Linked DNA regions of Macaca fascicularis. The protein of the gene in region 1 purifies or fractionates together with the protein of each later gene. This does not show direct contact. Links are inferred from orthologs where the notes say so. Each region holds a gene or a part of one and is shown on either strand. Other genes may lie near its edges.

What was found.
Region 2: the proteins of TRERF1 (region 1) and DNTTIP1 purify together in Homo sapiens (affinity purification with mass spectrometry; 3 studies listed by BioGRID and IntAct, with this or other methods). This does not show direct contact. The link is inferred for Macaca fascicularis from reciprocal best matches to the Homo sapiens genes TRERF1 and DNTTIP1.

Annotation. Positions count from the first base shown.
Region 1 is NC_088378.1:129,309,105-129,312,917, forward strand, and holds part of TRERF1 (transcriptional-regulating factor 1), read left to right. Parts: intron 1-868; coding exon 869-1,116; intron 1,117-3,813.
Region 2 is NC_088384.1:101,821,763-101,826,358, forward strand, and holds the start of DNTTIP1 (deoxynucleotidyltransferase terminal-interacting protein 1), read left to right. Parts: upstream 1-1,634; 5' UTR 1,635-1,702; coding exon 1,703-1,807; intron 1,808-2,380; coding exon 2,381-2,451; intron 2,452-3,616; coding exon 3,617-3,713; intron 3,714-4,596. UniProt on the Homo sapiens protein: Increases DNTT terminal deoxynucleotidyltransferase activity (in vitro). Also acts as a transcriptional regulator, binding to the consensus sequence 5'-GNTGCATG-3' following an AT-tract.

The DNA.
Region 1 (3,813 bases):
TGGCAAGCAATGTCTGACCAAAGATGTTGCTAAACATCCTGTACAACAGAACCCCCCACCCATCACACCAAATAATTATCCAACCCAAAATGATAGTAGTGCTGATGTTAAGAAACCCAGCTTTATGGCAGTATCTTAAAATTCTGCCCAGATCCTTCCTGTTTTTATCATTCTGTATTAAAATTTGGGGGTCTTAAATATTGATTCAACAATGGGCTACTGATTAAGACTATATATAACGTAGAATATGTCAGAAAACCTAATCATTGTCTTTCAAACTGGGTTCCTTAGGGTACTAGGGCTTCCTGGGGGTAGATAGAGCTGAGCAAACAGGCCCAATTCTGGGGCGCTGTCTCCATTCTAGCCAGAGCACCTCTGCTTTTAACTTGAGCCTCAGTTTTTTGAGTAAGACCTGATTTCTTAAAAAAAAAAAAAAAAAAAAGGAGGGAGGAAAAGAGGAAGGAAGGAAGAAAAATGGGAGGGAGAGAAGGAGGTAATTATCGGCTTTAAAAAAATTTGAAAGCTGGTCCAGCCCCCTCATTTTTCAGATGGAAAAAAATAAAGTATAAAGAAGGGAAATCGCCCAGCAGCTTTAGTTACAGTAGAGCTGGGTCCAAACCCCTGACGTCTTGACTTCTAGACAGTAGCTTTGTTGTTCATCCTGTGCCACATCGCTTCTTCTCTTCTGATTGTAGCAGTGATGAGGTTTTGATTGGCACAGCATTTGTGGTTGTGGTATTTGATCTTTACCTTTTGTAGCATATGCCCAAAGTGTGCTTATATAAAACCCTTGTGCCCTGTCATTAAGACAGTTTCAAGTATTCCATGTTTACCACTGAGTAACTAATAACCCTAATTTCCTTTTCAGGACTGTAGATGTCATGTCACTCCCTTTCTTCCCCAGGTGTTCAGCTCCCGACAGGCACTGAATGGCCATGCCCGCATCCACGGGGGCACCAACCAGGTGACCAAGGCCCGAGGTGCCGTCCCCTCTGGGAAGCAGAAGCCTGGTGGCACCCAGAGTGGGTACTGTTCGGTGAAGAGCTCACCCTCTCACAGCACCACCAGCGGCGAGACAGACCCCACCACCATCTTCCCCTGCAAGGAGTGTGGCAAGTAGGTGCAGGGGACCAGGGACTGGATCTGAGTTCATGAGGATAGTTGCTGTATGGGGACTGGGCCAGGATGGCCTAAGGTTTCTTCAATCAGAAAAAAGAACTTAGAATTCAAAATTCTTCTTCATACCATCTTTGGGATGGGTATGTAGGCCTTGTCGCAGACTCAGAATATGGCCATTCTGTTACCTTAGAGCCTTGTAAGGATGGATATCTTCAGAGAGTGAACCTCTAAGTTACAAAACTTCCCTCTTTCCCAGGAATGGCAGGCGGGACTCTGGTTCCCACTCCTTCCCTTCACACCCAATCTATGTTCACTAGCATTACTCTGTTTGCATCCCCACTGAATGATTTGAGAATGGCTCTAGAACACCTAATCAGGAACTCTCTATAACACAGATGGCTCATACAGGGTATTCCTACCACCTTCGCTTACTTCTGTGCCTAGGGCAGACATCACTAATCAATCACCACACTCTTTGCTATCACTTTAAGACAAAGCCTCAAATACTTTTCATTGTCGTGCTTCAAGCTGCACAATCAATTAATCAGAGTTGACACATGAAATAAAACATATTTGTTATCCTCCCCTTTTAGGTATAATTAAAAAAACAACAACACCAACAACTAAAGTAACATGAGATAGTAATTATAATAGCTAACATTTACTGAGCACTTATTTTGGTACATGCTTTATGTGTATGAGCTCATTTAATCCTCACATAGAAACTCCATGTGATACAGATACTGTTTTTTTATACTTGTTTTACAAATAAGAGTTTAAAAATTAGGTAAAATGACTTGCCCTAAGTCACACTGCCAGTAAAGAGCAGAACTGAGATTTGAACCCAGTTTTGTCCGAATGCAGACCTGGGCTCCTGACCACTGCTCTGTCCTTTTGGTTTACTTTGTTTTTTGCTTTAGGTAGAAAATGCCATTGGTAGTAAGATGGGTGATTCCCTCCCACAGCCTCCAGTAGAGAATTCCAGTGTACTTCTCAATAAGTCCACCTGACTGGAAGGGTACTACATTGTTACGAATTACATCCTTTAGGAGCCTTGCTGAGTTCCTCTTCCCATAATTCCTAGTGCCTCAAGCATGAAGAGGAGTGTTACCTGGGAGAGATGCTGCCCAGGTGGTTTCTGAAACTCTACCAGGAAAACATCCACAGTTACATAAGCAAGGCCAGGTGGGACCTCATAGAGTAGAGCAGGCAACTTAATAGTAACTGCTGTTTATCAGGTACTCACTATGTGCCTGGCACTGTTTTAAAGGATTTTTTACATGTTTTAGTCTGTTTTGTGTTGCTACAACAGAATATCACTGACTGGATAATTTATAAAGAAAAGAAATTTATTTCTTATAGTTCTGGAGGCTGGGAAGTTGAAGGTCAAGGGGCCTGCATCCAGCAAGGGCCTTCTTGCTAAGTCATCCCATTGTGGAAGGGCAAAGAGAGGGGAGAGAGAGCAAAAGGTTGAACTTGCAGCCTCATACCCTATAATAATCGGCATGAATCCACTCATGAGGGTGAGGCCCTCATCACTGAAACGCCTCCCATTAGGCCACACCTTCCAACACAGCTGCATTAGGGATTCAGTTTTCAACGTGTGCTGTTTGGGGGACACATTCAACCCATAGCACATGTACTGATTAATCTTTAGCCCTGTGAGGCGGGTACTTTTAGGAGCTTCTTTTTTTACAGGCAGAAACTGAGGCACAGAAAGGTGAAGCCCCTGTTGCAGTTCACAGCGAGCAGCCTAGTGGGGATTCAAATCAGGCGGGCAGGCCTGGCCTTGTGCTCCTGGCTCTATGCCATGCTGCCTCTGATTAAGCCCAGCTTGGCAGCACCCACCAAAGTGAACTGGAACTAGCAGATCCCTTCCTCCTGTGAAGCACAGGGATGGGAGAGGTGGGATTCAGTGTGGGTCTCCTCCACACCCTGCCGTCCTTCCAAGCTGGCCATGATGTCATTTTCACATCACCACCCACCACATACTGGTGCACCATGGGAGAAATGGGCCCCTGGATTGATCTTAAGGCTTTTTTAATAGAAATAATGATGGAACCACCCTCAGCTGACTCTCAGTGATCTCTTACTTATTTGTCCTGGAGTGGCAGCATCAGGGTATCAGGGTCTTACCAGTTTTCCCGAGAGGAGCCAGCACCTCCCACTCATTAGGCTCAAACAGGCTACAACGCTACATTCCACCAGGTGGAGACAGAGGATGATTTAACTAACAAAAGTCAGCATTTCGTGTTTCCCGGCCATGTCTCAGTGGCATCTATTAAATGGTTTTTTGGAGTCTTAGGTTGCTGGGGAACTTTTTTCCACCAGAAATCCAGTTATGACTTTCTGGAAAATACAAATGGTTTATGTGGCTTTTCCTAACTCAGAATAACATTAGGCAAATGTTCACAAAATACCTCTTAGAGCTGCTGAAATTATGTTTGTTACATGGAACCATTTTCAGTGTGTCCAGGTAGAATTGTGATTTATCAGCCCTGTTGGACTCAGGCCTTAGAAACCAGGTGTTTTGTGATTTTTTTTTTTTTTCCTTCATGAGCTCAGGAGTGACTAAAGAGTATTATGCCACGCCCTGTCCATAAACAGTCTCACTCCTGGACACACTTCTTCTGAAAAAGGTCCAGATAGTTAATATTTGAGGCTTTGTGGGCCGTTTACTGTCTTTATCATAAC
Region 2 (4,596 bases), on another chromosome or scaffold:
GAAGGACCTGGCTTTAGCCCAAATGACAGAGGGAGGGACTCATGACACTGCTTAAGAAAATAGCCAAAGCTAATAACATAACCAAGCATAACAAAATTGTTCATCCTAGCAACCCAGAAAAGACAGAATGGAACAGACCACTCAGAAACTATCAAACAGGCCAAGGTGGGCAGATCACCTGAGGTCAGGAGTTCGAGACCAGCCTGGCCAACATGGCAAAACCCTGTATCTACTAAAAATACAAAAATCAGCTAGGCGTGGTGGCACATGCCTGTAATCCCAGCTACTTGGGAGGCTGAGGCAGGAGAATAGCTTAAACCCAGGAAGCAGAGGTTACAGTGAGTGGAGATCATGCCACTGCACTCCAGTTTGGGTAACAGAGTGAGACTCTGTCTCAAAAAAAAAGGCGGGGGGAGAAACTATCAAAAACCTACAGAAAGGCAGTAGTTGAGTTTGTTAAGAACTAATGAAAAAGCACCAAACACCTACATCTTTGTCCCTCTAGCCCACACAGGCCATTCTTGGACTGTATGAAGGCTAGCTGGCAGAACTCAAGAGAACAGTTGCTATGTATGACTCAGATAGTCTGCCTACATATACCACCTTTATTTCTTTTTCCTCTATTTCTTTTTTTCTTTATCTGTCCTCTTTATGCCTTTGGTCAGCTGTGATACCCAATGGTGTCCACTGGCACTGCTTAGTCCTATGGGCAGGTACAAGGTTAAAACCTCCCTAATAGGATGAAAAAGTTTGGAGCCAGGAAGTTGCCCTTATTGTTATAAGATTGATGTTGGCTCATGGAGATAATTAACATTTGTTGATGGCCTAACATGTGCCTAATATGGTTTTTTTTTTTTTGGGGGGGGGGGGACAGAGTCTCCCTCTGTCCTCCAGGCTGGAGTGCAGTGGCGCGATCTCGGCTCACTGCACAATCTCGGCATAATTAACATTTGATGACGACCTAACATGTGCCTAATACGCCTGTTTTTTTTGCTTTTTGTTTTTTGTTTTTTTGAGACAGTCTCCCTCTGTCGCCCAGGCTGGAGTGCAGTGGCGTGATCTTGGCCCACTGCAACCTCCGCCTCCTGGGTTCAAGAGATTCTCCTGCCTCAGCCTCCTGAGTAGCTGGGATTACAGGCGCCCAACATCAGGCCCGGCTAATTTTTGTATTTTTAGTAGAGACGGGGTTTCGCCATGTTGGCCAGGCTGGTCTCGAACTCCTGATTGCAAGTGATCCTCCCGCCTCGGCCTCCCAAAGTGCTGGGATTACAGGCATGAGCCACCGCCCCTGGCACAGCATATTAAAATCTAGTCTTCAAACACTGAACTGCAGGCGTCGCTGCACCAAACACTTCCCTCTGCTCCCCAACCCCAGCCTACAGAAACCAGCTCCCCTCCTCCTACCCCGCAGTCATCCACAGGCCTTGGCCCAGCGGGAAACGTCCCTTGACTGAACCGCCACTGAACACCCACACTCCACAATCGAGGGGCAGCCCTCCCGAGAGGAAGCCCCAACGACCTCCAACCACAAGGCGTCTAAGTGTAACTGTCCCGGGCGAGGCGCGGCGGTTCGGTTCCCATGGTAACCCCGCAGCTCCTGCGTCGCGCTTCCGGGCGGACGAGCAGCGCGCCTCAGTGACGTCACGGCGCCACTTTCCGGCCGGTGGCAGAGTCCGGCGAAGTTGTGGTGGCCTGGGGCGCCATGGGAGCCACTGGCGACGCCGAGCAGCCGCGGGGACCCAGCGGGGCCGAGCGGGGCGGCTTGGAGCTGGGGGATGCGGGCGCAGCGGGGCAGCTGGTTCTCACGGTGAGGGCGCCCCCGGTGAGGTCTGGGCTCGGGCCGGGCAGGGCCTCGGGGCTCCCGGGACCCTGGCCCGCGGGCGAGAACGCGGCGGCTGCAGCTGCAGAGGGGGTTGGCGTTTTCGCAGCCCGACGACCTGGATTCAAATTCTGGTGCCGCCCTCCTAGCTAGGTGACGTGGGCCAGCTCTGTCGACCCCCTGAGTCCCCAGATCATCTTCTATAAAATGGAGATGATTAGTACCTGTCTCATAAAAGTTGTTGTGGGATGGGAAGATAAAGGCGGGTACAGCGCCCAGGACATCACCTGACACAGAGTTGACCCTCGGTAAACACTGCTTCCCTTCCTCCTGCCGTGCCAGAAGGCAGGGTCGGGACTTTTAAGGCAGGAAACTTCCTCAGTTCCTCTTTTGTGGAGGGGGCCTTCCAACTGTTGTCCTCCCCCGATACCCCAAGGCGGGAGAGATGGTGACGGATCTGAGAAGCAGGAATGTTTAGGTTTAACTTCATACCCACCCTCCACCTCCACCCCACGCCAGTGTCACAGGCCGCAGTGACATTTGTTCCGTTGGTCCCCACAGAACCCTTGGAACATAATGATAAAGCACCGGCAGGTGCAGCGGAGGGGCCGCCGCTCACAGATGACAACAAGGTAAGGCTGGCCCTGCATGGGACTTGTATCCCAGCCACTGGCTTGCATGGCAGCTTTGGGATCCCCAGTGCACAAGACTATGGAGATCTACAGCCTGTAGAAAGAGCACAGGACTGAGAAAGAGGAGACTCCGATCCTGTAACTCTGTGTGATCTTGAGCTAGTCAAGTCACTTCCTTCTCTGAACTCACGAAATGGGGAAGGGCACAGGAGATGGGTTGGGGAATAAAAAATACCTAAGACCCCTCACATTCACTGGCTCTGTGATTGAGGGCTCTTAAGAGGTCAGTTAGCATGGAGTTTAAGAGCACGGGCTCTGGAGTCAGACAACTGTGTTCTCATGCAGCCTCTGATGAGCCCCTGTTTTCTCAACTATAAAGACGGATTAATAGTATCCATCTCAGGGAAGGGAGAGAGCACAAGGTGGGCCTTTGGGATGCTGGTAGTGGTGAATTGGATGTTCACTGTAATTACTCATTAAAGTGTATAGACTTTTCTGTATAATAAGTATTATATTTCATAAAAACACTTTGGGCCGGGCGCAGTGGCTCACGCCTGTAATCCCAGCACTTTGGGAGTCTGAGGTGGGCGGATCACCTGAGGTCAGGACTTTGAGAACAGCCTGACCAACATGGAGAAACCCTGTCTCTACTAAAAATACAAAAAGATGGCCGGGTGCAGTGGCTCACGCCTGTAATCCCAGCACTTTGGGGATCTGAGGCGGGCAGATCACCTGAGGTTGGGAGTTTGAGACCAGCCTGACCAAGGAGAAACCCGGTCTCTACTAAAAATACAAAAATTAGCTGGGTGTGGTGGTGCACACCTGTAATCCCAGCTACTCGGGAGGCTGAGGCAGGAAAATTGCTTGAACGCAGGAGGCGGAGGTTGCAGTGAGCCAAAACCACACCACTGCATTCCAGCCTGGGCAACAGAGTGAGACTCCGTCCAAAAAAAAAAAACTTTGAAAATAATACCCACTTCATAGAGTTATGAGAATGAAATAAAGTCATGCCTTTGTGATTTGAACAAAATCTGAGCATGTAGCTAGTTTTCAGTAAAAGTTGTCTAGTATTGTTAAAGAATTCTATGTCCATAATTGACTGGGCAAGGTGAGAAAGAATATGTTTCGGACATGCCCCCTCACCCTGTCTCCCTCCTGAATGCAGTTTCACAGATCCTGCCATCTCTATGGATCTCCTCCGAGCTGTCCTGCAGCCTAGCATCAATGAGGAGATCCAGACTGTCTTCAACAAGTACATGAAGGTGAGAGGGACACAGGATAAAAAATAACGGGAAAGACTCATGAGGAGCCCAGTCCTTCCTTGCATCACCAGTCCGTCTCTTTCCTACACACAGATATCTAAAGTTTTCCTTTTGTTTTTTTGTTTTTTTGTTTGTTTTGTTTTGTGTTTTTGAGACAGAGTCTCACTCTGTCACCCAGGCTGGAGTGCAGTGGCATGATATCGATTCAGTGCAACCTCCACTTCCCAGGTTCCAGCGATTCTCATGCCTCAGCCTCCCTAGTAGCCAGGATTACAAGCGCCCACCACCACACACAGCGAATTTTTGTATTTTTAGTAGAGACAGGGTTTCACTGTTGACCAGGCTGGTCTCAAACTCCTGACCTCAAGTGATCTGCCCGCCCACCTTGGCCTCCCAAAGTGCTGAGATTATAGGTGTGAGCCAGCGCGCCCGGCCAGCTTTCAAATTTTTAATCCCCCAAGAATTTTATCCCTTCCTTGAGGGTAATTCAGATATCTTTTTTTTTTTTTAAATCTGCCCTTGTCACTCACTGTCACGTTTTTGTTTTTGTTTTTTTTGCTGACTTCTTGTAAGGATGAAATGACTTAAATGTACTGTGCTGAGCACTGCACTTAGGACATAACAAGTGTCCAGTAAGTACTTCTATTAGTTGTTTAATAATATCACCATTATTGGGGCCATGCACAATGGCTCACACCTGCAACCCCAGCACTTTGGGAGGCCGAGGCAGAATCACTTGAGGCCAGGAGTTTGAGACCAGCCTGGGCAACATAGTGGGACCTCATCTCTACTACAAAAAAAAAAAAAAAATTTATTAGCCAGGCATGGTAGTGCGTGCCTGTAGTCCCAGCTACTCAGAAGGCTCAGGCGAGAGGATCACTTG